4 linked regions of the Cricetulus griseus genome follow. The protein of the gene in region 1 purifies or fractionates together with the protein of each later gene. This does not show direct contact. Links are inferred from orthologs where the notes say so. Each region holds a gene or a part of one and is shown in the gene's direction. Other genes may lie near its edges.

Region 1 (8,038 bases):
TAGCATTTTAACTCTACTCATGATGTAAAATGTCTAGAGTAGAGTAATAGAGGAGTATATTATCCTTTGTATTTAACCAGAGAATGTTGGTGGTGGGTAAAATATATTTTGATTATATCAGTTCTTAGCTGATACATCCCTATTCTTTATGATTCCCATTTTTTAATACTGAACTCTTTAGCTAGACATAGTGACCATTTCCATTACTTCTCTAGCTCTGCACCTTTACCCTTATGTTTTGTTGTTTTGGTTTTTGGTGCTGCTGTCAATCAAACCTAGGCAAGCACTTTAACACGGAGACACATTCTCCATCCCACCCTCTGCCCTTGCTTTCAGCTCTGTGCCAATGACATACTGGATGGTGTTGATGAGTTCATTGAGAGCATTTCTCTTCTCCCGGAACCAGAGAAGACCCTACACACTCAAGACACAGATCACCAGCCCAACTCAAGCCACGGAGAAGAAGATGGTAATGCAACCGATATCCTAGGTGAGTGGTCCCACTATGTATCCCAGAGTTACATGGCAGATTCCCCAGAACTCTCATTTTCTAAACATTCCCAATATTGACTGTCTCTCCTGGTAGCCTTAAAGGAAGATCCTCCCAGCAGTTTGCTGGAAGAGAGGAAATCAGACCAACTAGGCCTGCCTCAGACTCTGCAGCAGGAATTCTCCTTGATCAATGTGCAAATCCGGAATGTCAATGTGGAGGTAAGTCCCAGTAATGAACTGGACTTCATGCTTGTGGACGGGTTGTGTGGGAGTATGGGTCTGTTGGAGCTGGAGTTAGAGGCAGTTGTGAGCTGCCCAACACAGCTGCTGGGAACTGAACTTTGACCCCGTGGGAAAACAGGAAGTGTGCGTAACTGCTGAGACATCGCTCTAGTCCCAGGCTTCTTTCTTAATTCCTACGTTTTCTAAAGAAATAGCTGTTTCCCAAATGCAGACACCTTTGAAGGTCATGTGCCATGGCATTCCCTCAGCATCTCTCTAGCCCCTTGCTTTACTGTGTGTGATGAGGTTTGCTCTGGGAAGGCTTACTGATTGACAGGATTATGGGGGAGGCTAATGGCAGAGCTGAATTTGGATCTGGATTTCCCAAATCTCATGCTATTGTACTGTGCTTTTCCACCTTCCCTTTATGAGCTAGTTTCCTTTGATGTAAATTCAGAGTAAGAAGGTGACCTAAGTCTCTTGGTTCACTTAGCACTTGAAACCGACTTGGGCCAGAAGGTTATTCTTCGGTGACAGGGTCCTGAGGATTACATGGCCAAGAGGTGAGACGATGAAGAAGACAGAAATCTGGGATCAGGAGGTCTTGCACAAGCTATGTCTTATGCCAAGCAAACTTACTAAGAAGTACAAAATCTTATATACTGTTTCCAGGGGGATAAATGGGACGACGCCAGCAGAAGTTATCATACAATGGGACAAAGTCAGCAAGATGCTAATCAAGCAGTGTTGCACAAAGAGAACACAGGGTATTGCAAGTACATCACAGACTGACCACACAGCAGCCCAAAATCCTAACTCATTCAGGGTCCAGGGCTCAGCCCCAGACTAGTCTGCCCCTTGGCAAGGACACAAAACTAGGCTCCTTTTGTGGTTTCATCAGAGCCTCTGAGAAGCCTTGGGTTGGCCTGGCTCTCAATATGGAACTCACTCTCTCTCTCTCTCTCTCTCTCTCTCTCTCTCTCTCTCTCTCTCTCTCTCTCTGTGTGTGTGTGTGTGTGTGTGTGTGTGTGTATTTGTGTATTTCAAAATTGCTTGCTTCAGAGAACCGAGTGTCACTCCAGGAAGAGATTTTAAAGCTTTGCTAATTTTGCTTTTGCTCAGAGTTATTTCACTATAGACAGATAAGCACTGCAGTGCTGTGATTTGCTTGGTCTTTGATGCCATTTTGTGATGTGAAGTGTCACTCTGCTTTACAGATGAGGGAATGGAGACAAGGTGCAAAACTACTGTTTAGTGGGAAGAGATAATACTTGTTTTTGATTTTGATTTTTAAAATCTTAATTTTTAAAAATTTTGTGTGTATAGGTATTTTGTCTGCATGTATGTCTGTATACTACTTGTTAGCAGTGCCTGCAGAGGTCAGAATAGGACACTAGATCCCTGGAAACTGGAGTTACAGACAACTGTGAGCTGCCATGTGGGTGCTGAGAATTGAACCTGGGTCCTTTGGAAAAGCAGCTAGTGCTCTTAACCACTGAGTCATCTCTCCAGACCCCTAATGATAATATTTAGATTGAATTGAATTTAGTTGCATAATTCAAGTTTCTCAATTTCCCATGGGTTTGGCTCTTTTCATTGTACTTCAGCTACATTCTCTAGTTGGCCATATTGGAAATCATCAGAGCTAAAGGCTAGTGTAATTGCCTATCTGTATCAACTTAGCCTATGCTTCGGTTGTCCCAGTTGAGAACAGTACCACTACTGGTTTTAGAAAGAGGCCTTGATTCCAGAGTTGTGCAGCTTTCACCTGCACAATGTTCTAATTCTAGAACATTCCCATCACCCTAAAAAACAAAACAAAACAAAATTCTGTAACCAGTAAAGTGTGATGCCACATTTCAGTAATCCCAACACTCAGGAAAGATCATGAGTTCAAGGTTAGCCTTGGATGCATAACAAATTCCAGGCCAGCCTGGGGCACATAGTAAGAACCTGTCTCAACAAATGAATGAATGAGTGAATGAAATAGATAAATAAACAAATGAAGCAACTCCTTTGTGCATCTGTCAGGTAGATCAGAGCTTAAGAGTACTGGCTACTCTTTCATAGGACCCAAGTTTGATTCCCAGCACCACATGGTAGCTCACAACTGTCTGTAACTCTTTTCAGGGAATCTGACACCCTCCCTGGCCTTTGTGGGTACTGCAAGCATGTAGCATGCCCTCATACAGATAAATAGAAAGTCTTTAAAAAGAACATCTTCCACTACATTCTGTTAATAATCATTAGGTGTGAAAGAATTCCTTTTGTGGTTATTAAAAAAAATCTCAAATTTCTAAATCTGTAAGAATAAAACTTTTTAAAATGCAAAATGAATGTCTTTACCTGTTACATATGTATAAAATTAAAAAGTCATATATATACATTTATATATATGAATTTATTTAAATCAGTATTAAAACTTAAAAATCTGTTCTGAAAATAAATTATATTTCGAACTATTTGTTTTTGTAGGCACTTTCCTTTTATTCAGTTACTAGAAACATGAGCATTTATGCTGATTGTTAAAATCCATGTGTATTCTGCTGAGGGTGTGGCTTGGGGTAGAGTAGTACTTGTGTTGCCTGTTCAAGGCCCTGGGTCCAAGGCTCAGCACTGCAAATAAAATACAGCACAGTATGATAGGGTGAATGTGTTTCATCTCTGAAGACCCTTTGCAGTTTGTCTCCAAAGCACCTTGCACTTGTGTTTTACAGATGGACGCTGCAGACAGGAGCTGCACAGTATCTGTGCATTGTAGCAACCACCGTGTCAAGATGCTGGTGACGTTCCCAGCACAGTACCCCAACAATGCTGCTCCTTCTTTCCAGTTCATTAACCCTACCACCATCACATCTGCCGTGAAAGCCAAGCTGCTGAAGGTGAGTGAGGCTGAGCTCCCAGCTTCAAAGTCTCTATGCGCTGTAGCAGGCATTGGTGAGGTTGAGCACAAACCTGCATCAGTAAGATTTAGAAGTTGCCTGTTCCCCAGATGCTGCAGTATCTGCTGAATAGCTACTGTCTTGGCAATCAGCAGTAGGACAGGGTTCTTAACCTGCTTTTTTGAGGGGGTGGGTATGGATGTCCTGTGGAATTCTAATAAAAAACTGTTGATTTTTCTTCAGAAAAACATTTACAAATGTTGGATCTGAAGGATTTCATAAATATCGAATGCAAATATATTGACTATAAGTAACGAGTTTGCAAATTTAGAGCTTTGCATTAGTCTGAGGTTGTGAACTCTGCAAGGCAGTTTTTTTCACTTATCTAGGAAGAATAGGCAAGATATATTTTGAAGCTAAAAATATTTGAAAATGTACAGTCATTTAAAAATCTCAGGAAAAGGGGCTGGAGAGATGGCTCATAGGTTAAGAGTACTAGCTGTTCTTCCAGAGGTCCTGAGTTCAATTCCCAGCAATCACATGGTGGCTCACGACCATCTATAATGAGATCTGGTTCCCTCTTCTGGTGTGAAGGCACACATGCTGGAGGAACACTGAATACATAATAAATAAATCTTAAAAAAAGAAATCTCAGAAAAGAAGCCCTGTGGGTTCAGAAACTGATGTGTGTAAGATAATTAATTTTAATTGTACTTTTATTTAACTCAGCACATCTAAAATAATATTATCATGTCAACATGCAATTAGTGAAAATGAGCCAGACACAGTGATAACAGTCCTGTAAGCCATGCACCTAGCATGAGAAGCAGGAGGATCAGGAGTTCAAGGTTATCTTCAGCTACATAGCAAGTTTGAGGCCAGCCTGGGCTACATGAGTCCTTGGGTCAACCCCCAAAACGAGATACTTTACCCTTCTGTGAGTTTGGAGGATGCACATTTCCTGTGTTCCCTGCAGAGAGCAACAGCAGTGATCCAGTTCATGTGCCTGTCTTAATGTGGGTGTCAGTTCATATCTCTAGCATGTACCTTAAAATGTCAGGGGTCACCGTTTTAGTGGATGAAAACACAGCAAATGTATTATAACTTTTGCTGAATAGAAATCTTTGCCCTGGCTTCTGTCACTCAGAGCAGTTTCTCTCCAGCCCAGTGATGATGTTTCCAAAACAATTAGATTTCTCATGTGTGGAGGCAAAGCTGTGTAGACTCACTAGAAAGAAAGAATAGCCATTCTGTTCTGTCTAAGGCTCGGGAAAGTTCTTTTCTTGAGCCCTTATGGGAACCAGTAGAAGCCTCAGGCCTGACCATGTGCTAGCCTCCCAGGGCCAACATGCTTCCAGCCACTTTGCAGAATAAAGCCAAGCAGAAACATATGGACATATGATTCTCTCCCTGATGGTGTTTTGGGTCTTTTCCAGATCCTAAAGGACACTTCCCTGCAGAAAGTGAAACGCAACCAGAGCTGTTTGGAGCCCTGCCTGCGCCAGCTCGTCTCCTGCCTTGAGTCTTTCGTGGTGGGGAATGTGAACTTGTTGAGCCAAGCCATGCTTTAGTGTCTTGTCGTAGTTCTTGTCCCCGGGACCCTGGCTCCCGTTGTAGTGCTGCACCACTGTTTTGTGATGCGACTTAAAGATAGCTCGTGGGTTCTAGTGTGTTTATCTTTGATTTCAGAACCAAGAGGACAGTGCTTCTAGCAACCCATTTGCACTCCCAAACTCTGTCACGCCGCCCTTACCGACATTTGCACGGGTGACCACTGCTTATGGATCATACCAGGATGCCAATGTTCCCTTTCCTAGGACCTCTGGGGCCAGGTTCTGTGGAGCAGGTAGATCTCTCTGTTCTTTGACTCTTAACTCCGAAGAAGTGTAGCTAAGAAAGGCTTATATGCTTCATAATTATCAGTAAATGTTTGTTTTTAACTTTGTAAGAGCTCAAAACAACATATGGTATAATACTAAATTCATGTCTGTAGATGTAGCCTAGGAATGTTTACCAGGGGCCTGGAGAGATGGCCTAGCAGTACAGAGCACTCACTGCTCTTCCAGGGGACTCAAGTTCAGTTCCCAGCACCCATGTCCAGCAGCTCACAACCATCTGAACCTCCAGCTCCAGGGGATCCGACATCCTCTTTGGGTCTCAGCATGCATCTAGATGCACAGCATACACACACAGAAACACATACGTGTGCACATAAGTAAAATAAATAAGTCTTTGTAAAAAAAAGAATGTTCTCTATAATTGAAGGCTTAACTGCTTTAGTCCTGATGGACCTGAATTTGCATCTACTTAGATCCCTGATACTTTTACCTCTCCTAGATCTTGTAGACTCTCACCTTGTTCCTTTTAAGGATCAGTGTAGTCACAAGCCTTGGCAGTTTGTGGAGCTATGCCTTGCGTATACGGAAATAGAAGAAAAACCCTGCCTGGCTGGTGGTAATAATGCTTAGCATGTGTAAGACCCCATGTACAATCCCTAGTACCACCAAAAAACCTTTTTTTTTTTTTTTTTTTAAAGTACAGTCATTAACCCAGGCATAGGAGCTCATGCCTTAATCCCAATACTTACTATGCCAAGGCTGGAGGCTTGCTATGAATTCTAGTACAGCTTGGGTTACCTAGTGAGACCCTGTCTCAAAAAACAAAAGATTACCCTATCCTGCCTTGGGATTCCCATGTCCAGCTCATTGACACCACGTGCTCCTGTGTCTCCTTCATCAGGTTACCTGGTGTACTTCACAAGGCCCATGACGATGCATCGCGCAGTGTCTCCAACAGAACCTACTCCTAGGTGAGTCTGGGAGATGCTGCAGGAATCCATGTCTCTGTCTAAGTTCATGTCTGTTAATCAGTTAAATTCCTCTTACAAGATTCCTTCTTCAAAGATGGGGGTTCATTAACTTATTTCGACTGTAAGGTTAGTATCAAAGCACTGGGAAGACAGCTTGATGAAAGTGGTTGTTAAAGCAACTTTGGGCTGGGATGTCAGCCTAGAGGCAGAACATGTACAGGGGTCTGGGTCCCATCCCTACAACTAGGAGGGGAAAGAGGGAATTCTTTGTAAATGTTTTACTCCCATTGCTAAACTTTTATGTAATTTTATTATTTAATATTAAACTAAAAGAAGAAATACTATCTAATTAGTCACACAACACTAATAGGCCACTTCTGAAATCAGGATGTGCCATTTTCACAATTACGTGTTAGAAAAACTCAAATCACATTAAAGTTTTAAATAAAAAATGCAAAAGCCCTTTCTCCCTTTCTCCCCGTGCTGGGAGAGGCACTGTCACAACCAAGCATGTTCCTGCCCTTGGCACTGTTTTTCTGTGCTACTTCTCTGATGGACAAGCTAGTGGGACCGATGAGGTGTGAACTTTATAGCCAAATCACCCAAATTAGCTGGTTGATTCTTTGACTGTGGACAGTGTATCTAAACTGCTTTAGTTTTTTTTCAGCAGTCACTCAGGTAGATCTTTTAGTTGCCAGGAAAGTTAAGTAAATGGTCCTGTAAGACAGTGAGTATGCAGACTGCTGCTAAGGCTTCTCTCTGGCTTTAACACTGTACAGTAGACTTCTGGTTCTTTGGTATGGTGACCAAGATAACTTGGAAATCTTTCTGCTAGAACAGTATCATATGCAGTATGCTGAATGGATGGAATACCTGGCTGGCAAGATGGTAAAAGCACTTGCCACTAAGTCTGATGACCTGAGTTTGATCCTGGAGACACACATGGTGGAAGGAGAATAAAGGCTTACTCATTCCCTCAGATTGTCTTCTGACCTCCACATACACATGGTGGCTTGCATCCCTCCTCCCAGAAAACACAATAAAAATGTTTAAAAGAAAGGATTGAATGCCACCTGTGAGTAGATGCTATTGTTTGAGTGGGTGTTTCCAGTTTCTGCACTGGTCCCAGCAGATGAACCCTTGATGCTTAAGAACTAGGCTTAAATAACCAGGTTCCAACACCTACTCTCCAATGGATCACATGTCCTCGTGGGGACATTTTTCAGCTAGCAGTCTTTCACTGAGGTATAACTGGCAGTAGAAAAGTCTGAAGTTTACTGCACAGTGACCAGTACCCCGCTCGAAATACAAGACATTGTCCTGACCTGTAAAAGCTCCTGGTTCCTTTGCCAAGCTCCACAGGAAACCACTGTCTCAACATCTGTCATCCTCTTTTAGTTTTGCCTGTTTTTAAACTTCATTGAATTAGAATCATGCAGCATGAACTGTTCTTATGTCTGGCTTACTTTGTTCAACTTAATGTTATTGAACTTGATTTGAATGGCTGCATGGATCAGTAATTGCACCGTATGAACATGACGTAGGGTGATTTGTTCTGTTGATGGATGTTTGGATCATTTCCTCTTTGGGGCTATTAAAAGCAAACTAGAGATGCATACCTTTTTTTTCATTT
Region 2 (8,693 bases), on another chromosome or scaffold:
TCAAAATTAACTGTTAAATGAAAGAGGAAGGGAAAGAGCAGATTTCTCTGAGTAGAGGCAGCTCAGAGATTCTCCCCCACCTCCACACGGATTACTCTTGCTCAGATTCTAGCTGTCCTAGCCCTCTCCAAATGATACCTTCACCTTCCATAGAAGCCCTGTCACCACAATGAGCTGACACACTCATTATAGGCCACTTTACAGTTATGTTTCTTACTCCTAATTAATTTATCTGCTTTAGGCATCAATTACAAGTGCCAGCCTGCCTCTTAGACACATTCACATCCTTCTGTCATCACTGGTGTGGCAGTTTCTGCTATGGAGTCATACTGCCTTTGAACACTCTGCATATTATCAGGCCATGTGACCTCGGCCAGCACACCTCTTGAGAGCTTTGGTTTTGTCATCTGCCAAGTGGGGACATACAGCCTACTTAAGGAAGATGCATGCGGTGAGAGTTATACTGGGATAATGGATATGTGCTGGACTCTCATTGGTAGAGCTGAATAATTTTCAAAGCCTATATCTTCTCTGCCTTCATTCTACAGAAGCTGGATCACAAAAGATCATTCACTTTAGACTAGACTACTAGTGTCTTCTGATTTTCCTTCACAACATCATTGTCTTTGTAAGTGCAGCTTATAATCACATCTCTGAAGATCAGAAAGTCAAGTTCCTTTTATTTTTAGACAGGGTCCCCTGGGTGATCTGTCTCTGCCTCCTGAATGCTGGGTTTACAGGAATGTACTACTATGCCCATCTTTGTTAAAGGATTTTTTCCCCCCCAAGGCAGGGTTTCTCTGTGTATCTTTGGAGCCTGTCCTGGAACTAGCTCTTGTAGACCAGGTTGGGTCTTGAACTCACAGAGGTCTGCCTGCGTCTGCCTCCCAAGTGCTGGGATCAAAGCATGCGCCACCACTGCCCAGCTAAAGGATTATTCTTATGAAAACAGTTCATATTCATTTGAAAATAAGTAGTGGGGGCGATGGAGGGGTATTTCAACAGAGCTCTTTCTAGCATGTGTGAGACTCTGATTTGATCCCCAGCACAGAAAAAAAAGTATTAAATACACACGCCAGTGGGGTGAGAGATACAGACATAGACATGATTGCTGTCCACAGCTAAATGCAGCCAACAGAAGATGCTGTGTGCTCCAGACAATCAGTTTCACCTTTCTAAACGGAAGTGTCCTGGCTTGTGTGAGTGGCTGGTAACAGAGCCCATTAACTGGAGGGAAGCAGTAAGACTTGTAAACATGACATTGAAGTTCAGTGGGTTTGGAAGACAGGGCTAGGGAGAGGTGGAAGGTGTCGAGGACTGGGCAAGACGCCTTCCAGCAGAGCTGAAGAAGGCTTTTGGAGGAAGTGACATCTCGAAAGCCACAAACAGAATAAAGGCACTGAGTTCTCTACAGTACCTCAATGGGTAGAACTTTCAGAGAGGAGTATCGAAAAGTGGAAGCATCATGGGTGTGACAGATAAAACTGAAGAGTTAGGTTGAAACCTATCTTGGCAGGCCTTGAAGATCAACCTAGGGGTTTAGCTTCATTCTGTAGTTGATGAAATACCACTGGAATTTTTCTTTTACTCTGGCCATTAACATTATAGTCATTTTTGTTTGTGTGTCTGCGTGGTAATGGGACTCGGGATCCTAATGGAATCCTGTAACACTAAGGCCCATCTCCAGCCCACAGAGTATGTTTTTAAAATGAAAGCCGAATCTGATCTAGAGTTGTTTAGAAGAGAATTTAACCCACAGGGACATTTGGTGATCAAGGGTATGTGACTAGAAGGACATTGTGCGCAAAGCAGGAGGAAAATATGTCAAAATATGGATCCTGCCCCCAATGAGTTTCTAATCAAAAGTTTCATACAAGACAAATACACAGAAAATGATAATACAAGATAAAGTGTGAAAAGTATTGAAACGAAGAGAGGAGAGAAACGCCCAGCCCAAGTGCTTAGGAAGGGTGTGCAAACTGCCTTCTCCACAGAAGCTGGAAAAGCATTAGACCTAGTCAAAAGATCATTATTGGTATTATACATCTAAACTCAGACTATTTCAGAAGGGATCTGTAAGGACTAGTCAGCTTAGTCAGCTCTGTCCAGGACTGCTGGACCAGAGTAAAGAGAACTTAAATTGAAACAAAAAAACAGAGGCCTAAAGAAAAAAACTGAGCTGGACGTTGGTGGAGCACTCCTTTAATCCCAGCACTCGGGAGGCAGAGGCAGGCAGATCTCTGTGAGTTTGAGGCCAGCCTGGTCTCCAGAGAGAGAGTGCCAGGGGAAAAAAAAAGAAAGAAAGAAAAGAAAAGAGAAAAAACTGAAGGATGAGATTACTCGATGTGAATGGGTGAATCCAGTTTAAAGTGCTGGGGGTGGGGAGTGGGTTGGAAAAGCCAATCTCCTTGCAAAAGGAGAGGTGAGAACCAGAAGTGACAAGGGTGAGTGTCTAGAAAAAAGAGGGATAGAAACAGAAACTAAGGGAGCACCCATGTTTAGGGAGTGGAAGGGAAAGAGGAGTCAGAAGAGGAGTGGCCAGAGGGATATGTGAGAATAGACCCAGCCAAACAGCTAAGTTACAAAGTTTCCAGGAGTGCCTGGAGGGTGGAAGACTCGAGTGAAGGCATCTAGGCAGAGCAGAAGAGGGAAAATTGTAGCAATAAAGACTGAGATTAAATTTGAGATTACCAAAGGTGTTTTTGTTGTTGGTTTTTTTTTTTTTTTTTTTTTTTTTGCTGTTTTTTTTGTTTTTCGAGACAGGGTTTCTCTGTGTAGTTTAGGAGACTATCCTGGCACTCACTCTGGAGACCAGGCTGGCCTGGAACTCACAGAGATCCACCTGCCTCTGCCTCTGGAGTGCTGAGATTAAAGGCATGTGTCACCAACGCCCAGCCGACCAAAGGTGTTTTTCAAGGAGGGCTTTTCCAGTGCTTCTGACCGTGCAGATCTCTCAAGACCTGAGGGGACAAGGTGGTGGATCTTGGCCTTCAAATGTGCGGTATTTGATCTATAATTAGAACAACTGGATGTGTTAGGGCTATCTGCAACCTTAATCAGTCACTCCAGGAACTGGAAAGCTGAAGAACTTACTCGGAAGGGATTTCACACCTGGCTGTTTGGCCCAGCCCGGTGAAGTCCCATTTCATCACGCAGCCCTAATGACTCCCTGGGCTGTCACTCTCATCTGGTATTGCCAGAGGTCTGACTACCCCTTCTTGCAAAAGTTTGCAGCATCTGTGTGAGGTCAACTACAGCTCCCAGAGTTCCCAGGTGCTTCTCGATGCTGATTGGCGAGACGGTTGGCTCCGGAGGGGGGTGTCGGCCCCGCCTCCCCGGGAAACAGGCATCTGATTGGCTGCTCCGTGGGGCTCTTTTGTCCCCGCCCTCCTCCAGGGACCGCAGCGGGCTGACAGAGCCCGGCGAGCGCTGGCAGTTCTGCGGTGGGGATGCTGAGGAGCGCCGGCTTTGCGAGCAGCGCTGGCCACTGCGGACTTCCGAGGCACTCCGGGCCGTGAGAACCCCTGCTGCGTGACCAACCCCAGGCCTCCTAGGCCGGCCGCAGTTCCCCAAGCCGGGCTGGAAGGAGTGTCCGGCGTGGTAGCGCCGGTTCTCGGTATCCCGAGAGACACCCCGGGGTTCTCGAGCTTCCCCGGCGACCCCTAGCCCCGGCCTCCTGCGAGCGCTCGCCCCAGACCCCCTCGGGTGCCCCAGGCGCGGACGACCCGCGGCTGGGTCCTGGCGCACACCATGATCGTTGCGGACTCCGAGTGCCGTGCGGAGATCAAGGGCTACCTGCCGTTCGCCAGGGGCGGCGTCGCGGGCCCCGGGACCCGAGAGGTAAGCAGCAGTCGGGCGACACTGCTCTTCTCCAGCCACAGCAGAGCTTGGGGCTGTCCCGACCTAAGTCTGGAGCGGCCCCCGTGCTTAGGGTCTGGGAGCACGTAAGCCGGGACTAGGGTTGCATCAACTGCAGCCTCCTGTCTCTCTTCCCTCTCCTTGCCCTCCCCCCCCACCCAGCGGGGGAGGGGGCTGCGGAGCCCTCCCGGGGTCCTTCGGACTCCTGGCCAATGAGAAGGGACGCCTCCTCGTGGCTCCCCGGGTTTGTGCTCTGGTGGAGCGATCGTCTTCAAGTCCAGGCAAATCCCGGCCGGAGAGACCCGACCACTCCTCCTCCCCGCCCCCTTCCGCAGATTCCCTTCCTTTGGGTGGGGGCAGGCGAGCCCGGAGCTCTTTCTAGGATCGTTTTGTGCACCGATCGAGAAAGGAAGGGCCACCTGGGACTGGCCAGCAAAGATCGATTCCCCAGTCCCCACCTGCACCCCTGATCTGAAAATTGCCCAGAGTGCTTTAGGGGTTTGGTTGGCCGTTTGATCCTCGGCGGCAGCGGCTAGAGCTAGGGGAGAAAGCGGATAACCCTTGGTACACTCCCGAAGACTAACAAGTCTCGGGCTGCTCCCTTTTAAAATGTTCTAGGGTCCTCAAAGTTTGCTCGGAGACTAGAGGGACTTTGCAGGGAGGCAAGGTATAATGCTGTTTTAAAGCCCCCCCCTTTCCTTCCAGCAGCCTCGGCAATGAACGCTGTTTATTCTTTATGGAGCGCCTACTGTATGCCATGGTACAGGTTTTGTCTAAGACGGCAAATACAAGCTGTAGTGTAGCCCCATTTTACAGAATGAGAAAATTGAGAGCCTAAAGGGCTGAGAGAGAGGCTTCTTTCACTTAACCCTCATTCTTTGGCCTGTGTATGTGTAGGATTTTGGAGAATGCTTGATACGACAGAAGATATTGCTCTTTTTTTTTTTTTTCTAAGCCTAGAACAGTGGAAGGTGTATTGCCAGAGCTGGTGTATTGACAGACCAGTCTTGAGATGTGTGCATGACCCTAAGAAAATCCCTGTCCATGTCTGAGGAATGTCATTTCTGGAGGTTCTCCATCCAGTGGTCGATGGTTTCTTCGAATGATTTAGGAATCTGTGTAAAGAAACAACCCCACGGTTCTGCCTATTCTTTTCTGGTCACTTTTGTCTGTTTGCTTTGTGGACAATGTTGTCCATGAGAACACCTGAGCATTGGGGTGAGTGCTGGATTCTGATCCCACCCTCCACTTTCTTACTGGGTTATCTTGGTTAAGTGATCACTTGATTGCAGTCTCTTGCATAGGGATTTGATGGTATCTTTAAAAGATTATTGGAGAAATTAAAATACAAGCACAGGGCCTGATCTACAAGAGCTAGTTCCAGGACAGGCTCCAAAGCTACACAGAGAAACCCTGTCTCAAATAAACCAAAATAAATAAATAAATAATAATAATGCAAGCAAAGGCCTGAAGCTGTGTGCCTGGAACATATTTATTGCAGGGAACATGCCACTGCATTAAAATGCTAGCTTCTGTCACATTGGCTTAGCAGACATCCCCTCCCTACCCCGAGTGCCTCTCAAGAGACTTCCTGAGTCTATTCTCTGATGCCTGAGGGGGAGAGCCATTGCATGTCTTCTCTCCACAGTGCCTGGTAGGGAAGAAAATCTCAGGTGGTCAGGGAGATGGGGTGCCTTAGAGGAAGCCTCTTCCAATCCCACCATTTTGAGACAGGATCTCACTCTCTAGTACAGTCTCTTGCTGACCTTGTGACCATCTTCCCACCTCAGCCTCCTGAGTGCTGGGATTACAGGTGTCCCTCAACACTGCATTTAAGAAAGTCACTTTACAGTATTGGAGTAAGCTGGTAATGCTTGCAACATTCTATATCTTCTACTCCCTCAAGAAAAGACGATCTGCACACCTTTAATCCCAGCACTTGGGAGGCAAAGGCAGGTGGATCTCTGAATGCAAGGCCAGTCGGGGCTGCAGAGCCAGTTCCAGGACAACCAGGGCTACAAAGAGAAACTGTCTTCAAAAACCAAAATAGACAAATAAATAAATAAATAAATAAATAAATAAATAAATAAATAAAAGAGCCGGGCACTGGTGGTGCACAACTTTAATCCCAGCACTTCCAGAGGCAGAGACAGGTGGATCTCCATGAGTTCAAGGCCAGCCTGGTCTATAGAGCAAGTGCCAGGAGAGGCTCCAAAGCTATACAGAGAAACTCTGTCTTAAAAAAAATAAAAAATAAATAAATGAGAAAACATGTCCTTAAAGGTGTCTGCTTTAAGTAGAATCCTGCGAAGACAGGGTACCCATTTTCCAGAATGTAGTCCCCAAGACTGAGGAGGGCCAGATGGATAGTTCTTTCAGACCCACCTTCAGAGTGTCAAGCCTTCAGATATGCCTGTCTCCAAAAAATTCCAAGGGGCTGACTTTTGTGTTGGGTGGTATGTTTTCAAAACCATATTGGATTCTAGAATAGCTTCCTCAAAGAGTCACTTCCTCAGAAAAGCTTTTCTTTCCCCACCAGATACTGTTTCTGGTCCCTTCTCCATTGTGAGCTAGCTCCACATAAGCTGGGCCTTTCTGCCTTACTTTCCTGAACCAGTGACCCTGCAGGGCTCACCTTTCTCTGTGACTAAGTGCTTAACTAAACCCTTGTGGACTGTTGAGGCTCTGAAACCCCACATTCACTGTGCCAGGCCAGAGCTTTGGTCCCTTGTCTCTAAAGAGGGGACAACAAGTTCTGTTTTTCTCGGGGTGGCTGGGAGGAAATGAGGTGCTTGTGAGGTCAAACATGTAAGGATTTTAGCTTGGGGCCCCGTCCATTCTGTCTGCCTCTCTGCTGGTGCTGCTGCTATGTCTTCACCTCAGCCGGAAACCCGGGCTCCTATCTGGATTCAGCTGACAGATAGTGGGCAGTGCCAGACCTTCCCAGCTGGCAGAATGATTTAGCAGGGGTCTCTAGCTGAGTCCTGGGGCTGGCAGACTCCAGAGAACGAGAACAAAAGCTGGGCTACTCAGAGGGGCCAATGCAGCTAGTGAATAGTACTCTGAAAGTCAGTTTATGCTGGGTTTAAATGACCAGGTCTGGTGCCATTTCCAGAAATTTAGGTTAGAGTGGAAAGGGCCTTGGCCAGGCCAGGCATTTCTGGGCTCAAATTGCACTTTAAACACTTGTTAGTTGATTTTTAGACATTTAATTGACTCCCTTATGCAAAATAATCCCCACAACATAGAAACTGATAAGGATCAGATGTAAATGGAGCAGGAGCTCTTGGGTTTAACTCAAAAGTTACTGTCTAGCAAGCGCTTGAATTAGGAGCCTAGCTGTGTTCCCTGAGGCAGGTAGTCCTTTTTACCATTCAATGGTCTAAAGATCCCCTAGTGAGTCTTCCCAGTGAGCCGTGTGACTTCATTTTTCGTTGGCCCTCTGTTGCCTCATCTGACAAAATTTAGTGCTGGTAACTCCAGGCACGATGGCACACATCTGTAGTCCCAGAATTTAGGAGTTTTGCCCTGAGTTCAAAGTTGCAAAATTAGTTCCACCCCTGCCTCCCTGTGCTACAAAGTGAGACCTTGTCTCAAAACAACAAAACAATTTAGAACTAGTGTGGTGTAGAGGCATAAAAGTTGAAAGTTTTAATCCCGACTGGCTACATATCGAAACTTAGTCTCAAAAAATTAACTAAGCTAAATTCAAATTAAGCAAAAATTCAAGATTTTTGTTGTTGTAGTCACATGTCAAGTGTCTGGGCATGAAGAACCACTAGGGACCAGCATGTGTATGAGGCAGTGCAGACGCAAAACATTGCCCATGTAAAAAGTTCTATTCATACTCTTTTTTTTTTTTTTAATTTAGGAAAATGTCCCACAGACTTGCCTATGGGCCAATCTGGTAGAGACATTTTCTTCCTCTTTTTAAAAATAATTTATTATTTTTATTTCATGTGCATTTGTGTTTTGCTCCAGATATGTCTGTTTGAAGATGTCAGATCCCTTGAAACTGGAGTTACAGGCAATTATGAACTGCCATGAGGCTGCTGGGAATTGAACCTCAGGTCCTCTGGAAGAGCAACCAGTGCTCTTAACTGCTGAGCCATCTCTGCAGCCCCTGAACTCTTTTTTTTTTTTTTTTTTTTTTTTTTGAGTTATTTTGTTGAGCTGGGCAGTGGCGGTACATGTTTTTAATTCCAGGCAGAGGAAGGCTCTGTGAGTTCAAGGCTATCCTGGTCTACTGAGGGAGTTCCAGGACAGCTTAGGCTGTTACACAGAGAAACTCTATCTCAAAACAAAACAAAAGCTATTTTCTTTTTAATTTTATGTTTGTTTGTATGTATGTATATATATATATATATGTGTGTGTGCGTTGTGGGGGTGTGCATGTGTGGATATGTGCACATGTGTGCAGGTGCCCACTGAAGCCAGAAGGGGAAGTTGAACTGCCTGGTGCCAGAGGCAGCAATGTAGATGCTGGGAACTAAATTTGGGTCCTCCATAAGAGGAGCAAATGGTCTTAACCACTAAACCATCATCACTTCAGTCCCAAAAGTTCTACTGGACTAATGTACCTGACATAAGAGCAATAACAGGAAACTAGACCCTTTGTGCCCTTAAGGCAAAGAGTCCCTGTGGAGGGTGTTTGGGGACAGGTAGTGAATTCCTAAGGCCCTGAGCAGATAAGGAGTTTCTCATTCTTGGCAAACTCTGGTCACTGGTTTGTATAAACCTTGGTTGTTGAGCATAGGGAATGACTTCCACGCCGGCAGGAACCTGGTCTATATTCACCTCTCCCACTTACTTCCTCACTGAGTGACCAGAAGTGA
Region 3 (8,038 bases), on another chromosome or scaffold:
TCTGAGCCCTTGCCGTGGCAGCAGAGGCATGGTTTCTGGGCTCTCCATCCACTTGCATCTCTTTCTTTCCTGTCACTTTTGGACATTGTCAGCTTGATTCCTTCATCATGGAACTCAGAGCACCAGCCATTCTGCTCCTTCTACACATGCAGTTCATCTGTTTATATGGTTGATTCTTCTCTGAGCAAAAGCACTGATGGCTTCTCAAAGACTGGGGATGCTTTTCTCTCATTTTACCACACTCTAGAGCTCTCCATGCATGACGTAGAATGATCTAACAACTTTCTTTAGAAAGTCATGGCTCTCTGCTGGCTGTGGCATCGCACTTCTCCATTTCCAGTATTGGGAGCCTGAGGTAGGATCACTGTGAGTTCAAGACCAGCTTGGATCCATAAGAAGTTCTAGTGATAGCCTGTCACAAACAGACAGACAGGACATCTTGTCTTTTCATTTATTAGAATTATGCTCTTTTACAGGTCTCCAAAACAGATCCATCTCCAAAGCGGGAAGCACCCACCATGATTCTTTTTAATGTGGTGTTTGCACTGAGGGTGAGTGTTTGTACTGAGGGTGAGTGAATGAGTGTATGAGTGCTCAGATCAGGAAGTAGGGTCTGAGGGAGGAGAGCCAGTTTCCAGGGAGTTTTTCATTGGCCCAGAGCTCAGACTGTGGGCATGACACTGACTCTTATGATGTGCAGGTGGAGCATAGCTCATTGTTTTTCCCTCCTTCTCTTCCTCCTTGAACTTTTTTGTAAAATACATACATATAACTATTTACTTTATTAATAGTAGTGATGGAATCCAGGGCCTCATGCATATTGGGCAAGCACTCTTGTTACTAAGGTACATCCCTAGTCCTGAATGTTTTCCATTTTAAAATGTACAATTTTGGGCTGGAGAGATGGCTCAGAGGTTAAGAGCACTGACTGCTCTTCCATAGGACCAGAGTTCAATTCCCAGAACTCATATGGAAACTCACAACTGTCTGTAACTCCAGTTCGAAGGGATCCAACAACCTCACACACACGAAACACCAATGCACACAAAACAAAATTAAGTAAATTTAACAAAAAAAGTAATAAAGTGTATGGTGGCACACACCTGTAGTCCCAGTGTTCGTAAGGTTGATGCAGCAGAATTGCCACAAATTTGAGGCCAGCCTATGTTACAGGATGAGATCCTAGTTTAAAAACAGGCAGATGAACATTCAGCTAGACCAGGTACATTCCTATAATCCCAGAATTTGGGGAGCTGAGGTGAGAAAAGCAGCTTCTGCTACATAGTGAGTTTGAGGTCAGTGTAGGCAAATGAAACCCTCAAAAGAGTATACAATTTTAGTCAGGCATGATGGCACATGTCTTTGTATAGTAAGCTCATGGCTTAAAACACCAAATAAGGGGCTGGAGAGATGGCTCAGAGGTTAAGAGCACTGACTGTTCTCCCAGAGGTCCTGAGTTCAATTCCCAGCAACCACATGGTGGCTCACAACCACCTTGAATAAGATTTTGTGCCCTCTGCTGGCCTGCAGGCAGAAGACTGTATACATTAGAAATAAATAAAATCTTAAAAAAAAAAAAAGAAGGAAAGAAACACTACTTTCCTTCCTTTCTTAAAAAAAACCAAAACAAACAAACAAACAAAAAACTACCAAATAATAGAGACACAGAATTTAATTATACCTAATACATTTAGAATGTAATGTTACCATGTGTCATTCACTGCTATCTAGATTCATATTTTATTCCTCTTATTAGGAAACATGAGGAGCCTGGTAGCAGTTTTTATGCCTCTGTATCTCAAAGCAAGTCCTAGGCCTCATGTCAATTTGTTTGTTTTTTATTTATTTTTATTTATGTGCATGAGTACATGGGTGTCTGTCCAAGGCCAGAAGAGGAGTCAGATCCCTTGGACCTGGAGTTACAAGCAGTTGTGAGCCACCTGGTATGCTAGGAACAGAAGTCAGGACCTCTGGAAGAGCAGCAAGTACTCTTAACTGCTGAGCCATCTTTCTGCCCTGCCCCCAGACAGGGTTTCTCTGTGTAGTTCTTGCTGTCCTAGAACTCCCTTTGTAGATAAGGCTGGGCTTGAACCCAGAGATCTGCCTGGTTTTGTTTCTTTTTTAGACATGGTCTGTGTATCCCAGACTGGCCATGAACTCTTATGCATCTGAGAATGACCTAGATCTCCTAATCCTTCTGCCTCCACCTCACAAATGCTAGGATTATAGTTTAGGCATATGCCCATGCCTGTTGTATGTCCACTTATTATCCCATTACTACAAGACTTACCTATAAAGTAACGGTTATTATCTTATGCCTTAATACCTTTTTCAATCTGATAATAATTAACCACGATAAGTTGACATTAATCATTACCTGGTCCATTAAAACTTCCTGAATGAGAACATAGTTTTCCAGTTGGCCTGTGTGAGCCATGATGCAGACCATACTCAGTGTATGTAGTGTCTCTGTATCTACTAGTCTTAGCTGTCCTGCCCATTGTCCCATCACATTTTCCACATCCAGATTTGTCTCATTGGGTAGACTTTCTGTGTCCTACAGACTGGAAGTTACTGTGGAGGTGTTATATTTGAATACAAGCTTTTGGCAGGAAGCCCCATGAGTGATGATGACATGGTCACTTTGGGGCTGCTTCCTATGTTGTACTGTGGAAGTTCACTTTGTTTGTTTGAGATAGTGTCACATAGACTGGGCTGGCCTCAAATTTCATATGTAGACTTGAACTTGATCCTTCTACCTCTGCCTCCCAAGTGCTGGCATTATAGGGATAAACTGTCACATTAGCTACAAGTATGCTCTTTGTAAGCGTTCCTATTAAAGTCTGGCATGTTGTAGTGTCAGCTTCCTCGGTGTTAGCCCATGCAAACAAGAGATACCAGATATCCCTTCAGTGTATGTCATTGAGCCTTACAGGGATTCGGGGGAGGGGGGGAGGTAAGAACCACTTTGCACAAATGGGAAACTCAAACAGTTGGTCCCCAACAGCTGATGTAGGGTGCTTTTATGCCTCAGCTAGTGGCACCTCCAGCAGAAGGTAAGATGCACCTGTGACTTCAGTCCTTTCTCAGAGGAATAACCTGTGTCTAAGATTATTTTTTCACTTCTTTTCTAGTGGAAATGTTTTTACTCAGACTCTTTCTAAATGTGTATTTTTATTTTGAGGCATTTGTGCATACTCTATAAAACAGTCCATTTAGGACATGTTCAGGGGATGCCTTAGGCCTGCAGAGTCAGTTGCAAGTTCCTTTTGTAAAGATGGGAGTTACTGAGAATATAGAAAATCTCTCCAACTCCAGGTAAACAGAGTGTTGTCTGGGTAAGATTTTAACTTAAAGGTAATAGGCACAGGGTCACCTGGAAAATACACAGGATGGGAAAACAGCATCAGAGGCCCTAATCAGTACTGCCATTTGTCCCTCTCCCTTCTAAGCCTGTACCCCAAAGTATTACTCAGCAGTCCTGGTGGCCTCTAGGAACACTGAGTCATGTTTGGCTCAGTTATCTGCTCCTTCAAGCATCTCCATAGATCCCACAGTGGCCTGCTCCACCCTAGGTCTGGGTGTGTACACCTGCTGTTTGACTGTGGTCTCTGATAGGTTCCAGAGGGATGAGGGACACTGCTAACCTGAGAACCTTCTGTGTGGTGCTTTGACCTAGTCATTGTGGGTGCACAATGGACACTGGGGGTTGGGGGGGGAGTGGTGGACATGGACCTGGAGCCTACTGGTACTCTCTGGTTAACTTGGGTCTTCTTTGCTAGGAAGAACTCATCCCTGACAGAAGTTTAGAAAACAGCACAATGCTTCTGTATTATGTGTTCTGTAACAGTATGGCCTGTTGTGAATGAATTCCTCTATACTGTAGACCAGACATGTTCATAAATGGTCAGTGCACAGCAATGATTACAGATACCTCCAAGGTTTTGCTCAGGGCAGCCTCTGTTCTGAGCTGTATGTGTTTGACTGGTTTTCTCTGCTCAGTTGCTTGTCCTTCCTGAGATGAGGACCTGTGACCCAGATCACATAACAGATGGGTGGGATCTGTGCCCTTAGCTGTCCCTAGCTTTTCTGAACAGTCCTAGCATAATGTGAATGTGTGTCCCTTATAGAGGACTCTCATAGCGTCATCTCTGCAACCCTCTAGACAGTTGTTCCCAAGACTGGAAGATGGGGTGTCAGCCAGCATTTATGTAGGTAGGCTGCAGACACACACAGGGACTTCAGGAAGGTAGTTCTATGAGGAGGAACCTAGTGGAAAGGAATGGAGAGGGCCTTTTTCATGGTCTGTGCTTTTGCTGTACACATGTATTAGCTCCTTGTAAATTGTGTGTCTCTGTATACATATTTTGGCTGTTTGGCCTCTCTCATGCAGGCCAACGCTGACCCATCAGTGATAAACTGTCTACATAACTTGTCCCGGCGCATTGCCACTGTCCTGCAGCATGAGGAGCGCCGCTGCCAGTACCTCACTCGAGAGGCTAAGCTGATCCTAGCACTTCAGGATGAGGTGTCAGCCATGGCTGACGGTAAGTGAAGCAGCCTGGTGAGCATGGGTCTGGGCTGACTGATGGCTTCTCCAGAGGACCCGCTGGTCACTATGCTTTGTTTTGAGGCAATTGCAGATAATGCTCCTAATTTGCCCTCTAGTTTCAGGACACTATTAAAGAGACCCTCTATGCAGGAAAGGCAGGCTTACTGCCTGATTGCAGGTTTGATCGCATGCATTTCTCTTTGTGGACTTGGGGTAAGCTGAGAGTACAGAGAATCTTTCTGCCTCCAAGGGCCTCTCCCATATCACAATGGAACAGTCAGAAGCTAACCAAAGCTTTGGCATTTGGTGAGCTGGACACTGGAGAGGAAGTCTTTACAACAGCTAGTAAGCAGAAACTGGCCAGAGAAGTTGTAGGATCTTCACATTGAGCTGGTCACAGGAAGGCTCTTCTCGGGGGTTTATATATGGATGGGTCTGAAATGATATCTATAGGAAATACTGCCCCCCCACACTATATAATCATCTTTCACCTAGGACAGGTGCCTCTGCCTGGCATTGGTTCTGCTAGACAGATTGCCTGGAGTGGGAAACTCAGGGAGGGGTATTTAGATCATCCTGCTGGTAAAATAGGTGATTTCCATACTTGGCTTTTAAATTGAAGAAGAATCTAACTATCCCCTAACCAGTTATAAGAAATAATCTGCTGGGTGGTGGTGGCACACGCCTTTAATCCCAGCACTCGGGAGGCAGAGGCAGTTGGATCTCTGTGAGTTCGAGATCAGCCTGGTCTACATGAGCTAGTTCCAGGACAGCCTCCAAAGCCACAGAGAAACCCTGTCTCGAAAAACCAAAAAAAACCAAAACAACAGCAACAACAAAAAAGAAATAAATAATCTTTGCTGACAGACACTGTAGTGTTTAGTGTGCCCAAAGGACCAAACATAGGAGAGAAACTGGTAACCTTGGCCTCCTTTCCCTAAGGTTAGCAGCTATAGAATAAAGAATGAAGAACAGAAGTTAGATCAAGTTAAAACAAATTAACAAAGTCCCGCCTGGTTCTAGTATATTTTCAGTAAAAATTTTACCTTTTTTCTTTGAAAATTAGCTGGGTATGGTGGCATACACTTTTTTTTTTTTTTTTTTTTTTTTTTTTTTTTTTTTTTTTTTTTTTTTTGGAGACAGTTTGCTGTGTAGCTCTGGCTATCCTGGAACTCACTCTATAGACCAGGCTGCAGGCTGGCCTAGAACTCACTGAGATCTGTCTGCCTCTGCCTCCTGAGTGCTGAGATTAAAGCTGTATACCATCACTGCCCAGCTAAGATGGTGTGTACCTTTAATACTGGCACTTAAGAGGCAAAGACCAGTGGATCTCTGAGTTCCAGGTCAGTTAGGGTTATATAGAGATACCCTGTCTCCAAAACAAAACACTTGTATTGTGGACCTGGAAATGGTTGTAGAGTGGTTGCCTAGTACATGTGAGGCTCTGGGTTCCAGCTCCAGGACCCAAAAACAAAATGACAACAAAAAAAACCAAACACTTACATTTTCTATTTTAGTTAATTATAAATATGATAGTAAACAATCCAGAAATTTTATTTCCTCTTCTTTGATGGTACTCACTTTTAATCTCAGGACTTGGGAGGAAGAGGCCGGTGGATCCCTGTGAGTTTGAGGCCTGGTCTACAGAGCTGAGTTCTAGTCCAGCCAAGGCTACAGAGTGAGGCCTTATATCAAAAGGAAAGAAACAAACCAAAACCAACAATAATCTGCTAAAAAATTAAATATTTAAAAAAACCCACATTCATTTAATTATGCATATTTTGTTAGGGATTCATGAAGATTAATAAAAGACAATTCAGTCATAAAAACAAATCTCATTAGCATACAAGTATGGGAAGAGGAGTGGGATATGGCATGGGCCTACCCAGTCACTGCAACAGAAGGTGAAGTCCAGTGAGCCAAGAGACATTCCTTCCATGGGAGGCAGTGAAATGGGTTGCTTCTGTTACTACAAGGTTGTATAGGCCAGTGACAAGTTTAAATAAAGGTATCTTATATAGAAATAATTTCACAAATCAGTGTGAGTCCACTTTTATTTTACAGGAATCTGGGATACATTGATGATGATGATGATGATGATGATTACAAGGAGTTTCTTGATGTTAGTTTAACATTGCTTTAACATTACTTATTAATGTTGAGTTTGTTCTAAAGATAATTCTTGTTCTGGCTTGTGCATGTTTTCTTGCTTTGGAAGCTGTAAATCCTTATCTGTTGTGATTCTTGTAGCAAACGAAGGTCCTCAGTCCCCGTTCCACCATATCCTGCCCAAGTGCAAGCTGGCTAGGGACCTCAAAGAAGCTTATGACAGGTAAGACGGCCATGCTTGTTGAATCTCTTCTTCCTGGGTCAGCTTTCCTAAGCCTCCAGTGCTGAAGCATTCTATAGACAATGCTGCCATAGGCTGGGTAATGCTCTGGGGTGTGTGTTGTGGAGCTCTGCTGAGACAGGGACAAGGAAGGTTAGGGAAGGGACAGCTGTGTGGTCACTCTTCAGGAAACCATCTTGGTGTCCATTTTTCAAATGGCAGCCCCTTCGTTGAGTGTTGTGTACTTAGCAGGGACTCATCACTCCAGACTCCTTTTAAAACAAGCTTGGGACTGGAGATATGGCTCAGTGGTTAAGAGCACTGACTGCTCTTCCAGAGGACCTGGGTTCAATTCCCAGCACCCATATGGTGGCTCACTACGGTCTGTAACTCCAGGATTCAGCACCCTTACACAGACATATATGCAGGGAAAACACCAATGTACACAAAATAAAAATAAAATTATTAAAGCAACAAAAACAGAAGCTTGGCCCAAGATTATACACAAAAGCCCGAAAATATTTTTCAACCATTAAAATTGACATTTTATTGAGCTTACCTACTGCCAAGTTCTTTGTCACCTTTATTGAGGTGGGCCTCATTGACAGCTCCCTCTTCACATATGAGGAAATCAAGATTCAGTGGGTAGAACTGGAGTTGACTGTGATAGTTTGTGCTCCAGGAGAGCTGGAGTTTGAGACATTGACTATATGGGGTCAGCAAGTATTGGGGACACAATGGAAGCCTCATGTTGATTTGATTATATCGGTGGCTGAACACTCTGTTAAAATGCGTGTGTGTGTGTGTGTGTGTGTGTGTGTGTGTGTGTGTGTGTGTGTCTCACTAAATGGTCTAGGTTGGTTTGAGATTGCATGTGTGTGACACTGTCTGGCTTTCTTTCTTTCTTTCTTTCTTTCTTTCTTTCTTTCTTTCTTTCTTTCTTTCTTTTTTTTTTTTTTTTTTTTTTTGACAGGGTTCCATTATATAACCCTGGCTGGTCTGGAACCAACTCACTTATGTAGACAAGGCTGGGCTACATGGCATCTAAAAAACAAAGTAAAAAACAAACCAGGGATTTCAGGTTTCTAAAGAAAAAAGAGTGGACTGGGATTGTGGTGGAAAGTTGTAGTAAGTAAGACTATATAGCTTTGTCATCT
Region 4 (6,635 bases), on another chromosome or scaffold:
ACTGCCCGCAGCGGAAAGGGCGTAGCCGGGGCGTGGCCTGGAGGCCACCGAGGGGTGGGAGCAGGCAGTGATCCTCAGACTGAGGCTACAGGAATGGACAGCGGGCGAAGGCTGGGTTCGAGGGCAGCCGGCAGCGCTGGGAAAGCAGGGCTCTGGAGGAGGCGTGGTCACTTCGTAGAGGCTGTGGGGCGTGGCCGCCGGAGAGTGGGTCGCTGGCTGGGCGGGGCCGCCGCGTAGCGGGCGGCGTGGAGCCCCTCACCGCGGCTCCTTTAAGCCGGGCGCCGCCCCGCCTCCTGCCTGGGTCTAGCTGGCGGAGGGGCCGTGGCCGTGCGATCTGCGATGGAACTGCACATCCTAGAACACCGGGTGCGGGTCCTGAGTGTCGCCCGCCAGGGCCTCTGGCTCTACACCCACCCACTCATCAAACTGCTCTTCCTGCCCCATCGCAGCCGGTGCGCACCCGGGTTCAGGGGCGCAGGTCAGACGGGAGGGGGCTCCTCTGTCATTCTAGGCCAGGGGCGGAGGATTAGGGCCATCTCGAGGTAGCGGGTACCGGGTGGGGACGCTGTCGGTTCTGGCCACCATCCGGGCCGGGCCTACCCTTTCTGAGACGCCGCCTATCCGGCCCGGAGAGCTCGCCTCCCAGGGCTTGTCAAGGTGCAAACTGCCTGGGATAGGCGTGTAGTGGGGCATGCCTTCCTAGCCCTGCCTTAGCCCTTTCCCAGGCGCCTCGCGTAAAGTTTAAGAATTGTTTAGGGGAACCCAAAGCCCGACACCTCTAGGGTGTGGAATGGAGGGAAGATCTGGAGTTGGAAATCAGCCGGAGATGGGACCCAGACCACGTTGCTCCAGGGAAGGAACTGAGGCCTGAGGGCGGGTCAGGAAGGCGCCCGGCGGGGGGTCCTTTAGTACTGCTGGAACGAAGTTCGCTTGTCCTCTCCAGCCCATTCACTCCAGCCTGAAAGTCTCCCCACCCCTTCCCTCCCCACTAGGTGCAAGTTCTTCAGCCTGACGGAGACCCCGGAAGATTACACACTCATGGTGGATGAGGAGGGTTTTAAAGGTGGGAACTGGCCCCTTGCTCACCAGTAAGCCGTATTCTTACCAAGTGCAGGGATGGATCCAGCTTCCCAAGGTCTCAAAGGCATATGAGTCTGGGTTCGAATCCTCCACCCCTCACTTAAGTTTTCTCTTATGTAAGACATAGTCTTGTCAGTTTAACAGTATTTATGAGAGCTTTATAAACTTAAAGCCCAGGAAGGGCAGGGTGTGAGTCCCAGGCCAGTAAGGGGTGTGTGTGTGTGTGGGGGGGGGGTTGTCTCACAGTTTTAGTCCCCATTAAGGGGTTCCTGTAGCTGTTTTAACCCACGGACATTATTTATTCTTGGAATTCTCTCGCCAGTGAAAGCCAGATCCTCCTTTACTGGCCCGGGAAGTCTAGGAGCCTGAGGGTTGGGGAAGGAATGCAGGAGCAGGCAGCAAGCCCAGAGCAGGGTCCTGGGGCCTCCTGGCTGTGTTTGGGCGAACAACAGCCACCCTGGCCCTTGTCCCTGTTCAGCATTGGGACCTGGGAACTGACTTCTGGCTCCCATTTCTGCCTTCCTGGCCTATCCTCTGAGGCCTAGAGTCTCAAGCCAGCCACCTGGAGCTTGGCCTAACCTCCCTCCTGAAGGACTTGGTTTCCCTGTTCTGTAGGGAAATCTCTTGTCTGCAAAGGAGCAACTCCCAATCAGTAGATTGCTTGGCGCCCTCTGGTGGTTCTATGAAGCCTATTAGGCCACAGAAAAGTCCCCAGGAATATCCCATTTTGCAGATAGGAAACAGACTAAACAGGCTTGGAATCACAGTGTTTTAGGAGGCTGTGGCAAGAGGATCAGTTTGGGTTCAAGCCTAGCCTAATTTACATTTTAAGACTCTGTCTCAAAACAAACAATGAAAAGCCACTTACCTCAAGTCACACAGCAAAGGTGAAGCTGGAACTTGAACCTGATTCCGAGTTTGAGAACACCTGCAAACGAAGCAGGGCAGAAATGATAGAAGACAGCCGTGCTCTTCAGACCTCACCTGCCTTGCTGGAACTCACTAAGGCTCACACTAACCAGGCGTGTACCTCCCGCCCACAGAGCTACCCCCATCTGAGTTCCTGCAAGTGGCCGAGGCCACATGGCTGGTGATGAACGTATCATCTCACAGCGGTGCAGTGATGCAGGCTGCTGGAGTTACCAAGATTGCCCGGTCTGTCATTGCCCCACTGGCCGAGCACCACGTGTCTGTGTTGATGTTGTCCACATACCAGACAGACTTCATCCTGGTGGGTTTGGGCAGGTGTTGATACAGGGCATAAGCAGAGGAGCCTGGAGCTGTATAATGTATGTCATTTGCCTTGACCCAGGTACGGGAGCAGGACCTGTCTGTAGTGATCCACACACTGGCCCAGGAGTTCCAAATCTACCGGGAAGTAGGCGGGGAACCTGTGCCTGTTGCCAGGGATGATTCCAGCAATGGCTTTCCCCGAGCCCAGCATGGTAAGGTCTGCCCTCCAACACCCAGATTTAGGTAGGACCTTTTACAGGAGGGCTTGTCCTTGAAAGGGATAGGATGGGTATTTCAATCGGACCAGCAGATACCGTTTCTCAATGTGTGAGACATTGGGATAGGCACACCCAGGCCCTTCCCTTCCCAACCACCAGGGGTCGCCCAAGCCCAGGATTGCCTTTTCACCTTGTGGCCCATGTATCCTGAGCAGGGCCCAGCCCCACGGTGCATCCCATTCAGAGCCCGCAGAACCGATTTTGTGTTCTCACACTGGACCCCGAAACATTGCCGGCTATTGCCACCACCCTCATCGATGTCCTCTTCTACTCACACAGGTGGGCCATGCGTGCACTTTATCTCTGGCCTTACACTAGTGCTTCCTGCACTCTGACCTTTGTCTCATCCATCCCTTCTGTCACTCTGTATCCTGCTCAGTGATTAGGGTTCCTGACAGCCGGTTAACCCTCAGCCAGAGGTGTTGACAGAACCACTCCACGGCCACATACACCCCAGTCAGGCCCTCTGCCCAAGACCCTTGGTCTTTGGCAGTTAGGGTTCATCCCTCAGGAAATTAGGATTCTCTCACAAGGGCCTTCCCAGAGCCATCCATTCTGGTTTTTCCTCTGTGGTCTGGTAGTCAGGAAATGGAGAGGGTCATGTGCCTGGCAGAGCCGTTGACCTTGTCATCCCTCTCCAGTGTCCCCAAGGAGGCAGCCTCAGGTGGTCCTGAGTCAAGCTCCATCCCGTTCTTCGCTTTCTCCCTCATTGAGGGTTACATCTCCATTGTTATGGATGCAGAGACCCAGAAAAAGTATGTAACCCCTTCTTTGACCCAAGAAGGCCATAGCCCCTCAGCCAGTCTCAGGGGAGGAGGAGGGGGAGGTGGGGTGCCATGCTCGGTGGTGGGTAGGAGGACATGCCCTGGGGATCAGGGTAAATAGGGATGCATGAGTGTCCTTTCCATCACCCACCTGCCTCACCAGGTTCCCCAGTGACCTCTTGCTGACCAGTTCCTCTGGAGAGCTGTGGAGGATGGTGCGCATCGGGGGACAGCCCCTGGGTTTCGGTGAGGATCGCTTGCCCCTGTATTGGGGTTAGGGCAAGCCTATGGGTGTCCACAGCATCCACACTGAGACACCTGATCTCCAACCCTCAGATGAATGTGGGATTGTGGCCCAGATCGCGGGTCCCCTGGCGGCTGCTGACATCTCTGCCTATTACATCAGCACCTTCAACTTTGACCATGCCCTGGTGAGTGCCTGGGCTGGGCTGGAGATTCCTGCAAGGTCCCAGAGGTGGGGGGAGGAAGAAATCCCAGCTGATTTAGGGAGCTGGGCATCCCTGGCCAGATTCAGCCCTGGCATTGTATGCTGTGCTCTTACCCAGGTTCCTGAAGACGGGATCAGCAGTGTCATTGATGTACTCCAGCGAAGGCAAGAAGGCCTGGCTTCCAAAGGTCCATAGGGAACACCAGGATCCCAGCATTCTCCTGCCCTGGGCTCTAGAGACTTTTCTGAGCTCTTTCCTGAAGCTGCAGAATGAGCCCCTGATCCTGCCAAGGGACCCTGGTTCTGCATGGAACTGGCATGTGTGGGCAAGTAGGCACCTCTTGGCACAGTGGGCAGTGCTGGCTCCTAATGGCTGCCCACAAAGGACACCTTGGTGCTTGGGGCTTAGACACCCCCCTCCCCCAACCCATCACTTTCTACGTGGCCTCAGCGTTTGCACAGTCCCTGCGTGAGGCCCGAGCCATCCCTCTCTCACCTGGCTGGGTACTTCTGCCTGTGGCTTGGGTTGCCTTCCTGGCCAGGTGAGTTCCAGAAGTGCCTTCCCTTCCTGGGGCTCCCGAGGAAAAGGGTTTTCCCATCTCACTCTTATTTTTATGACTGTTTAAATAAATAAAAGACTTGCTGAGCTGGGCTCTCTGGTTCCGAGTGACAGCCAGTGTCAGGTCTTGATCTCCCAGATTTCTCCCGCCACCTTGACTTTTCAAGCAGTGTGTATCTGTGACAGATGAGCAACTAAAGCCCCCAGCCCATTTGTGCCTAAGTCACATGGTTCCCAACCAAAGCTGCTTGTCTCTAAAGTTTAGAGTCTATATTCATTCTTAGTTACTTCAGGATGACCTAGAGAGCTCTGGACACTGGGAGAAATTCCTCTGTCTCTCACCTAAAAGTCCCCTGGCTGGACACTGGGGAACCTATCCAGGAGGTCCCAAAGCATCTCTCTCCCAGGTTATTGCCTACCTTCCTATATGCCTTGCCTAAATTCTTATGTCCCTCTTATGGAGGAATCACACAGTTCATGACACTTGGTGGTCAGGCCTTTTCCTGCTGAGGTGCAAGACTAAGTGGACAGAACAGGACCCAAGAGCCCACTTGGAGCCCTCATTGCCCTCCAGTGCTATATGTGGGCACATCTGGGGCTGGGTTTTTCCATCTTGGGGCCTGCTCAGCAGGACAGGACTCCATTGCAGTGGTCAGGGCCCTACACATGTCTGGGAGGTTATCAGATACCTTCAGCTCAGACCCACCCATGCTCGGGAGGGGAAGAAGGGTGTGACTTCTGTGTACCCAGGTCATAGTGACTCCCCAGAAAAGCCAACACATGGGCTAGGCTTCTGGCAGTATGCCCACTTGGCTCTGGGGACCCCAAGGCTGGGGCCTCAGACTCAGATCCGATGAGTCTAGAGCACAGCCCGGCATGGTGAGTGAGTGGTGAGAGGCCTTGGCTAGTCCTCTTCTTCAGCCTCAGTTTCTCTGTGTCCAGGAATCAATTCCTTCTGGGACCCTGGGAGGGAGCATCTCCTTAGCATTTGTCTGTGGTGGGGAGTGGTATGGAGAAGGCCTGTCTCCTGTAATGGGGGACTACTGTAGGCTCAGACTGGGGGTACAGCCTGCACTAGAGGGAGGTCAGGACGCTCAGGGCTGCCTGTCCTATACACAGCTGGCCCTGTGCCACTTGCTTGGGAGGTTTGCCTGTGAATCACTCAGGTTTGGCTGCTTTTGTCATCCTGGCTCTCAAAAGCCTCAGGCCTCAACCAGGTCCAAACTGGCCCTCGCTGGCTCTCAGGGCTACCCAATATCTGATTCAGCCAGGGGCAAGAACCACGGCCCAGTGAGCTGCTCCGGTGCACCTCAAGGCTGGGGCCACAGGCTGCAGATGCGATGAGTCGCAGAAGCGAAGAGTTGCAGAAGCGATGACTCGAGAGCTCGTTAGGCACAGCCTAGTAAGTGTGTGTCTGTGTGTCTGCTTCTAGCTCTGTCCACATGTGACTTTGTCACTGTGGAGGGCCTTGCCTGTCAAGGCATTGGGATCCTTGGGGTCCCAGGGCTGGGGTTCTAGCCTCTAACGGGCCTTCTATGTTTCAAGGGGCCACAGATATTTGGGGGCACAGGCATAGGGCTTAGAAGGTGCCCAGGGAAGGGGCTTTCACCCCAGCCTGATGCCTCCCAGGAAGCTGGTATTCTGGGTTGGGCCTAGCAGTCTCCAGGCCTCCATGGGGGCCTCTAATCAGTGTGGTTGGCCTGGGCTGGACTTGGCAGGTCTACTCTAGAGGCAATAGAAGGTATGCTTAGGCTTCTATCATGCAGCCCAGGGTTCAGCTCTGGCTGAGATGTGGGCCTGGACAAGTGGAGATGAGACAGGAAGAAGCCTCAGCCAAGGCCGGTTTCTACTCTTTGATCTTGTCAATATACAGGAGTCCATCTCAGGTCATCCTCGAAGATAGGAACAGAAATTCCAGGTTTTTAGACCTCTGCCCTTCTCCTGTCCCAAGAGCTGCCTGGTCCTGTATGTGCCAAATTGCATCACAGTTGGGTTTTCTTTTATTTATCTATTTTTTTTTTTTTTTTTTTTTTTCTGAGACAGGGTTTCTCTGTGGCTTTGGAGGCTGTCCTGGAACTAGCTCTTGTAGACCAGGCTGGTCTCGAACTCACAGAGATCCACCTGCCTCTGCCTCCCAAGTGCTGGGATTAAAGGTGTGCACCACCAACGCCCGGCTCTTTTATTTTTTTTTTTTAAAGATTTATTTATTTTATGTCTATAAGTGTTTTGCCTGCACTTGGGGCCTAGTGCCTACAGAGGTTAGAAGAGGGCAC

The links.
Region 2: the proteins of Wdr59 (region 1) and Sesn2 purify together in Homo sapiens (affinity purification with western blotting; 4 studies listed by BioGRID and IntAct, with this or other methods). This does not show direct contact. The link is inferred for Cricetulus griseus from reciprocal best matches to the Homo sapiens genes WDR59 and SESN2.
Region 3: the proteins of Wdr59 (region 1) and Nprl3 purify together in Homo sapiens (affinity purification with western blotting; 3 studies listed by BioGRID and IntAct, with this or other methods). This does not show direct contact. The link is inferred for Cricetulus griseus from reciprocal best matches to the Homo sapiens genes WDR59 and NPRL3.
Region 4: the proteins of Wdr59 (region 1) and Castor1 purify together in Homo sapiens (affinity purification with mass spectrometry; 3 studies listed by BioGRID and IntAct, counting the BioPlex papers as one, with this or other methods). This does not show direct contact. The link is inferred for Cricetulus griseus from reciprocal best matches to the Homo sapiens genes WDR59 and CASTOR1.

What each region holds. Positions count from the first base shown.
Region 1 is NC_048596.1:187,890,818-187,898,855, reverse strand, and holds part of Wdr59 (GATOR complex protein WDR59), read left to right. Parts: intron 1-336; coding exon 337-490; intron 491-586; coding exon 587-711; intron 712-3,431; coding exon 3,432-3,596; intron 3,597-5,032; coding exon 5,033-5,128; intron 5,129-5,285; coding exon 5,286-5,442; intron 5,443-6,335; coding exon 6,336-6,405; intron 6,406-8,038. UniProt on the Homo sapiens protein: As a component of the GATOR2 complex, functions as an activator of the amino acid-sensing branch of the mTORC1 signaling pathway. The GATOR2 complex indirectly activates mTORC1 through the inhibition of the GATOR1 subcomplex.
Region 2 is NC_048595.1:20,749,330-20,758,022, forward strand, and holds the start of Sesn2 (sestrin-2), read left to right. Parts: upstream 1-3,438; 5' UTR 3,439-3,750; coding exon 3,751-3,840; intron 3,841-8,693. UniProt on the Homo sapiens protein: Functions as an intracellular leucine sensor that negatively regulates the mTORC1 signaling pathway through the GATOR complex. In absence of leucine, binds the GATOR subcomplex GATOR2 and prevents mTORC1 signaling.
Region 3 is NC_048600.1:45,975,593-45,983,630, forward strand, and holds part of Nprl3 (GATOR complex protein NPRL3), read left to right. Parts: intron 1-476; coding exon 477-551; intron 552-4,393; coding exon 4,394-4,547; intron 4,548-6,592; exon of another isoform or gene 6,593-6,802; coding exon 6,803-6,884; exon of another isoform or gene 6,885-7,011; intron 7,012-8,038. UniProt on the Homo sapiens protein: As a component of the GATOR1 complex functions as an inhibitor of the amino acid-sensing branch of the mTORC1 pathway.
Region 4 is NW_023276807.1:100,666,994-100,673,628, reverse strand, and holds Castor1 (cytosolic arginine sensor for mTORC1 subunit 1), read left to right. Parts: upstream 1-88; 5' UTR 89-339; coding exon 340-452; intron 453-992; coding exon 993-1,063; intron 1,064-2,123; coding exon 2,124-2,311; intron 2,312-2,392; coding exon 2,393-2,525; intron 2,526-2,746; coding exon 2,747-2,870; intron 2,871-3,232; coding exon 3,233-3,346; intron 3,347-3,518; coding exon 3,519-3,601; intron 3,602-3,691; coding exon 3,692-3,786; intron 3,787-3,921; coding exon 3,922-3,999; 3' UTR 4,000-4,485; downstream 4,486-6,635. UniProt on the Homo sapiens protein: Functions as an intracellular arginine sensor within the amino acid-sensing branch of the TORC1 signaling pathway. As a homodimer or a heterodimer with CASTOR2, binds and inhibits the GATOR subcomplex GATOR2 and thereby mTORC1.